2 linked regions of the Danio rerio genome follow. The main gene of each other region encodes a partner of the protein of the gene in region 2 in a complex. Links are inferred from orthologs where the notes say so. Each region holds a gene or a part of one and is shown on either strand. Other genes may lie near its edges.

What was found. The genes of interacting proteins can lie anywhere in the genome.
Region 1: the proteins of cstf3 (region 2) and cstf1 are in contact, whole or in part, in a crystal structure (PDB 6B3X), measured with the Homo sapiens proteins. The link is inferred for Danio rerio from reciprocal best matches to the Homo sapiens genes CSTF3 and CSTF1. Residues at the interface, in NP_001317.1 of Homo sapiens: Tyr581, Pro582, Lys583, Pro584, Asp585, Thr586, Gln588, Met589, Ile590, Pro591, Phe592, Pro594; in NP_001028693.1 of Homo sapiens: Arg118, Glu216, Ala217, His226, Pro227, Ser228, Asp230, Phe231, Thr240, Arg242, Leu243, Tyr244, Cys251, Phe252, Val253, Ser254, Cys255, Tyr270, Ser272, Ser273, Ala274, Asn275, Gly291, Val292, Ser293, Asn294.

What each region holds. Positions count from the first base shown.
Region 1 is NC_133186.1:29,932,503-29,936,260, reverse strand, and holds the start of cstf1 (cleavage stimulation factor subunit 1), read left to right. Parts: upstream 1-1,234; 5' UTR 1,235-1,476; intron 1,477-1,603; 5' UTR 1,604-1,624; coding exon 1,625-1,793; intron 1,794-3,758. UniProt on the Homo sapiens protein: One of the multiple factors required for polyadenylation and 3'-end cleavage of mammalian pre-mRNAs. May be responsible for the interaction of CSTF with other factors to form a stable complex on the pre-mRNA.
Region 2 is NC_133193.1:48,719,474-48,723,131, reverse strand, and holds part of cstf3 (cleavage stimulation factor subunit 3), read left to right. Parts: intron 1-1,498; coding exon 1,499-1,531; intron 1,532-3,319; coding exon 3,320-3,417; intron 3,418-3,658. UniProt on the Homo sapiens protein: One of the multiple factors required for polyadenylation and 3'-end cleavage of mammalian pre-mRNAs.

The DNA.
Region 1 (3,758 bases), on a different chromosome or scaffold from region 2:
CAGCTTAAACAGACGATTTGCTCTCTACCTTATTGGTGTTCAAATGGTAATAATTCATTCATTTTCCGTCAGCTTAGTCCCTTTATTTATTAGGGGTTGCCACAGCAGAATAGACCGCCAATTATTCCAGCATACGTTTTACTCAGCGGATTCCCTTCCAGCTGCCACGCAGTACTGGGAAACATCCATACACACTCATTTCCACACATACACACAATTTAGTTTATTTAATTTACCTATAGCGCATGTCTTTGGACTGTGAGGGAAACCGGAGAACCCAGAGGAAACCCACACCAACACTGAAAGAACATGCAAACACAAAAACGAAAATTGACCTCACTGTGAGGCGACAGTATTAACTACTGAGCCATCATGTCGCCCCAAATGGTAATAATAATAATTTATAATATTTTTTGATTATAAAAATGATGAGGAAAAGACAACATTCAATTTGTTTTACTTTTAAAGCTCATAATATTTGCCCAAGAATTTCATAAATAAGTACAATTTAAATAGTGAACAAATTTCAAAACTTACAAATATTATAAGTTGTTGATAAGAACAAGAATGTTTGCATTTTTAATGTATGTTTGAGGAAATAAAATAATAACAAAAAAAAATATATTACATTTTCCCTAAATATTTGAGCAAAATGATATATGTGGATAAGTAAGCATTTTATAAAAGGTTTTTGGGTTCGGGATATCCATCATGAACAGATAATTGGCTGTTTTTTTCCTCATTTTTGATCAAGGACAAATCAAATAGTAAAAGTCAATAAAAATTTACATCAAATCAGAAAAATACTATTTGATAATATTATAATATAGTGATATGTCATATAGTGATAAGTTCACGTTTTCTTTAATATTTGGGAATCAACTAATTGATGTATAAACAAGAACAATATGAAAAGTGTAAATGTTTGTCAAGAAATCTTGAAAATGTGTTTATTTTCACACAAGTTCTGTCTCCTTTGCCCTTAAATGATACAAAATGCCGTCACTAACGTGTGTCCGTTAATTCAAAGTATATCAACTTAATAATTGATAAGCATATCTGCAGATCAGGTAGGCTATATTAAAATGAAAATTTTATTCGCATTATGTTTTTATATTAATATATTGTCAGTTACAAAGAGAGCATTTACCAAAATTCAATGAAAACCTTTAGTCGAGCTTTTATTTTGACACATTTAGAGACTTTTAATTTAACGGGTTTACGTGTACGTCTTGACGTAAGACGCACAGAACGTGTGCGCACATCCCTTGAAGTGGTAAGTCGTCGATTTTGTGCAACTTTAAATGAATGATACTCACTTTGTATCGTATTTATTGCTCACTTCAAACCTTAATTCTTACTTAACGCAAAAGCAGACACTGGATACATTTTATACGTCGCATGTAATACAAGCTGTTTTATAACGTTAGCTATAAAGATTTAACGTACACAACAATGGCTGTGTTTTGAATCCATGTAACGTTACCTTAAGTTTCATACTTAAACAGCTTTTTAAAACCGCCACCAAGCGTGTTGTCTTGTTAGGCAGCTCGAAAACACAAAACTATCTGCTAACAAGGCGTTTTATCTTCCTCCTCTAAAGTGCAGGCATCAAGCAGTCAAGATGTTTCGACCCAAACCCACACTGAAGGACAGACAGCATCTGTACAAGCTGATCATCAGTCAACTGCTGTATGACGGATACACCAACATCGCCAACAGCCTCATCAGTGAAGTCAAGCCGCAGAATGTGGTTTCTCCATCAGAGCAGCTCATGCAGCTCGCCAAGATAGGTGAGACTCCAGCACGCACAAATAAACCTTCTCACACTTTTAGTCCATTGGGCTAAAGTTGGTGTTATATTCCCACATTTAGATTTTCTCATTAATAAATAGAATTTCAGACAAGTGTTCTTTGCAAATTCTTTTTTCAATACTTTATTTTTATATCTATTTTTTAAGGAAGAAAAAGAAAAATACAAATAATAAATAATGACAAACAAAAAATACAATAACATATCAGAACTTAAATGAATAGTTGACTGGTCACATATTTCCTTACATGAAAAGCATATAAACATACATATATAGATCAGTTTACAATGTGTAAAGGCGTGAGCACAATCAATTTCTCTCAATATTGCACAGGGTTCATACGGTCATGAAAAACCTGCAAAGTCATGAAATTTCGACAATGCACTTTCCAGGCTTGGAAAAGTTTTTGAAAAACCCACAAGGGTCTGTAAAAGTCATGGTCTCCCTGCAGAGTTTTGTTCCAACACTAGTCAAACAAACCTGAACAAACTAATCAGTGTCTTCAAGATCACTTGAACTCTATAGGGAGGTCTGTTTGAATAGGGTTGGAGCTAAACTGTGCAGGACACCGGCCCTCCAGGACCGAGATTGCCCACCCCTGAGCTAGACACACAGCTGAATGCTATTGGTTTACAGAGATGCTTGTGCACAAGCCAGGAGAATGAAAACAAAGGAACCACCATTTTTAAAAACACAGCCAAGACATTGCACCGTACTAATAAATACACATAATAACGAATCATGGTCAATCCAAGCTTAAACAAACCTTGTTGTCGTCTTGATGAACGGCCACAAAGCCAAGAAGAACAAAATCTGCCATGTCCTGTTGTTGTTTTTCGAGCCCGTCTAAAAGTGTGAGCGGTTTCAGTTTCTTCAGAGACCTCACCGCACGTCTATATTTGAAATAAAAAAACTTCTTGAGCTCTAATTAATAACATGCTCGTGGTTATTTAAGTGCTTCTGACTTTCAGAAACGGACAAAGTGAGAGTGAAACGAGAAAAAACAAAGGAGAAGCTGGAAAAAACGAGCAGCAAATTATTCTTTCTGCAACCTAAAACATGATAAAAGTTAAACATGGCAGTTTGTTCATCACCTTTCAAACTACTTCAGAGGTTACATGTGCTGGTGAAGATTAAAGATACAGATGAGAGGTTTGCACTGACTGGGCTATATGTTGTTTTTGAACCTAAATAAGGACTAAATGTATGCTATGTGTAGTTTTTCTGTAATCAGTAACATATCGGAGCCTGTAAGGGTCTGTATGTGTCGTATATGTGGCATTTTTTTATTTCATATAATTGCAGATATTACAGTAGGCCATTTCACCCTATCATTGATTTGCAGTTTTATTCAAAGCATCTATATAGAAAAGTTAGTAATGAACATTTATACACAAGTATTTATATGTTCTAACTTTGAGAAGTGCTTTTCATAAGATATGTGAACGATCCATACAGCTCTACTGTAGACATTTTTTCGAGTAAAAATGATGTTGTCTGAAACTTTGTCATGCACCATGTTCACCAAAAGGGTACCTATAGTACCCTTTTGGCAGTGGAAATGCAAGCCTGATAAAGGAGACCCGTACCGACCCTTACCATACTGTACCAGTCAGTAAAGACACGCGCCAAGGTGTAATAAGTTCTGTGAAGATCTTTAGCAGTAGCGGTAAGTTTGGGGGTTTGCAAGGTTTTTTATTTTATAGAAAAAAATAACACATACTGGTTTTCAGCAAAAATACATTAAATTCTTCAGATGCATTAATAAAAATGTACATAATTTAAAAGAAAAATCAAAAGAGCCACATTTATCATTGTTTAAAATTAAACGAATGTAAGTTTATTTTTGAAGATGAATATTTTATCAGAGTTGTAATAAAAGCACCATACATTTAATATTCAATTCAAGTTTATACATAGGCTTTTGACCATAATTATTCTTCC
Region 2 (3,658 bases):
ATAAAATCACTTAAATTTATCTTTTAATCAAGGCCTTAATCACAAAGCTACTTGTTTTGACGTGGAATTGTTTCACACAGACTCAAAGGGTTTATAGATTGCAGATTTTTGTATTCTTGCAGTACATCTGCACTCCTGAAACATTTAGTGAAATCATAATTTTGCCGTGTCGGACATCATGATACCAATCAGTGGCTCCATTGATCATCTGTTATTAATATTTTGGGAAAATCTTCACACACTTTATTTGTCTTGCATTTTATTCAGTTGTTTTATTTTTATTCTTTTAGAATACTAAAAAGTGCGCGACTTAGTTTGACTTTATGTCTTTTTCCCCCCCATAAAGACTAGCTCTTTCTACTAGTCCAGTACTAAATAATGCATCTCATGTTGACCTACTGCGCTAGTCATTTTGATCAAGGTAGAATTTAGATTGAAAAATTTAAATCTGTAATTGTAATCTGTGATTTGACACAACATATTTATCTGTTTGTAACAATGGTAACTTTTTTTTTCATGCCATAAATGGCAAGATTAATTTTAATTGTCATACTAAATTTTTTTTTGTAAATTTTTGTAAATTTTTTACATGGGTATATGTATACATTTGCTTGCATGCTGACTTTTAAGACACAACCTGTTAAATTATTGAGAACATTTCGAAGAATCGATATTGTGTGAATATAACCATTGTTGGTTGCATGGTGTTAATTTATAGATGAATGTATCATTTGTGGCTTATCAGCAGAAATAAATTCTTATTATTAAGCCCTGAAGTTATATTTGTCTGTTGTGAGATTTCTGGTTGTTTAACTCTGGCAGTGTTTGAGTATTAGTTTTTTCTGGAAAAAAAAAAGAATAAAAATACAAACTGAATCGTAACTGAAATACTACACTTGTTTTCCCTGTTGTTTTAAGCTGTTGTCATTGTCCGAGTGTAATAATTGACCTAGTTGTAGTTCATAATTGACACCCATCATACTTTTCTAGTTGCTTTACCTACTTTAATGCAGGTGGCTTTGAAAAAAGAAATTGTAGATTGGGGTGTCCAAACTTGGTCCTAGAGGGCTGGTGACCTGGAAAGTTTAATTCCAACCCTAATCAAACATACCTGGACCAGCTAATCAAGCTCCTACTAGACATACTAGAAACTTCCTGCCAGATGTGTTGAAGCAAGCTGGAGCTAAGCTCTGCAGAACATCGGCCCTCCAGGACTGAGTTTGGACACCCCTGCTCTAGATGCATCATGTAACTTTTTCCAAAGGCTTGCACTCCAAAAAGCAGCATTTCAACTAAAACAATACAAAACAATCAGCTAAGTAGTTTTGTCTATCATTTGCACACATAAAATGGATTAAATTGAATAAAGGTTGAGATGAAAATGAAATGCAGGGTTGTGTGAATGTCACATTGTTGACCTCAAAGTGTGTGGAGCCACTCAATTTCACTTCATACGAAAACGTGGTTTAATAATGTTGGTTTTCAAATGTGTCCACAGATCAAGGCTAAAAACTATGACAAGGTTGAAAAGGTAAGCATTTGTTGTCGTATGGCAGCCACGTGTTTAATTTATGGATCGTGTGAAATTGCTGTGACTTGTGACAGACTCATGAACCATAAAATCTGGGCTTTATCTAGGTCACCACTTTAGGTCCTCAGAGTAAACAAAGATGGTGTTAAGGGATTAAACGACGCCTGCTTCGCTAGAAACACCCTGTTTACTCTTCTCAGTCCATCAACGGTCAATATGATATTAAAATATGAGAGGGAAAAAAATATATTTCAGGATGGGGATACATCCGAGTTTGAGATCACAGTTCAAAGACAAAACATCGTTCTGGTTGTGTAGATCTAGGGTTCCCAAGTACTTTATTTTCAGACATGAATCCAAGGCCTGGAAAGTACTTAAAAACAAACATTGGTCCTCGAAAGTGCTTGAATTGAAAGTTTATCTTGTTTTTTTCAACAATTGTACTTTTAAACGGTTGCTTAAAATGGTCAATTGACATTCAAAACCTCATCTTTATGACATTTTAATGTAAATATTAAGTGTAGGTGAAATGTTAAGCTGGGAGGGATTTCCATTACGGTAAATATACTAGGGGTGTGAATTACAAAGGTGCTTGATTTTAAAATATTAGTGATTTTAAAAAGTCCTTATAAATCCTTGAATTTGGTGTCCATTAAAGGGTGGAAACCCTGTAGATTACATTTTTGTTTTTGTTCTTGGTAAAAGAAACCATTTTTCTTATATTTTTTTGCATTATCCTAAATTTATTATAAATGCCATGAGGATATATACTCTAATTATTCAGTATGTGCCATGATATTACAGTTTAATAATCATTGTAAATGCAAAATATTTTGATGCTTGATTATAATTCGTAATATCTTTATGTGAATTTAAATAGTCTAGTATTTGACTTTTTGTTTACCTCAGTCTGGAATCATTTCACAATGCAATTAAAACTAGCATTTATTAACCCTTGTGTACTGTTCAAATTTTCCACCCTTTCGTTATGTTTGGGGCTGTTTTTGCCCCATTTACTTTCATTATAATGACATTGTTTGATTCCAAAGTCATGACAGCATATAATCATGCAATCATGACAGTTGGTAGTTTATCATGTTGGGAAGATGTTGGGAAGACGTTGGGTAAAATTAGAACTTTTTACTGTTGATTATCTTGCAGTGCATAGTAAAGCTTCGTTTCTGCCATATAGATGGAGTATAGTGTGTATGTGTGAGAGCGAGCGAGATTTATCTTTATGTCTGACAAAGTCTAATTAAGCGGCTCAGCTGTCAGAACATGGTAAACATAATAAGTGTATTTTTGTGCACACTATAATCTGCTGTTATTCATATAAAAGCCGGAACGGTTTTTGCACAGGCCTATCTAAAAGGTTAATCTTGCCAACTGATTATCAACAGTAAAAATGACACATTTTTCCTCTTCCCAACGTGGTAAACCACCAACAATCTAGAATGCATGATTACATGGTGTCATGGCTTTGCAATCAAACAATGTCATTATAATGGAAGTCAATGGGGCAAAAAAAGCCCCAAACATAACGAAAGTGTAGTCAATTTGCCCAGAGTATTGAGTTTTGAAAAATTACCAAACATTTTCACAAAATATGTCTCAAAATAAGATTCAGAAATCATTTCATTTGCTAAAACACAGAACAAGCTCGAAAATCACCACAGAGTGGATGAAAACATCCCCAACAGCACACAAGGGTTAAAATGTGTTTCTGCAATTGTTTGTGCTGGGTTTTTGTCCTGTGGGAGTTTGTTCACTGTTCAATGTTTTGCTCAGTTATTTCAAAGGTGCTTGATGAAGGTCCTGCACATTGACCTGTGGAAGTGCTACCTCTCGTACGTCCGGGAAACCAAAGGAAAACTTCCCAGCTATAAGTAAGTCACACAAATGTGTTTCCAACACTTCACAGTTGTGGCAGACAGACTTCTTAATGTCAATGTCTAGAATAAAGTCATTTCATTTCACACTAATATACTTTGTGATTAACTTTATATTTATATAACTTTATATTAGAGGACTCAAAACCATATTTAAATCTAGGAAGCATGTTTATAGTGTTATGAGAATAGGAAGTATTTTAGATACTACCTTATTTCTAGTCAACGCTAATTAAAA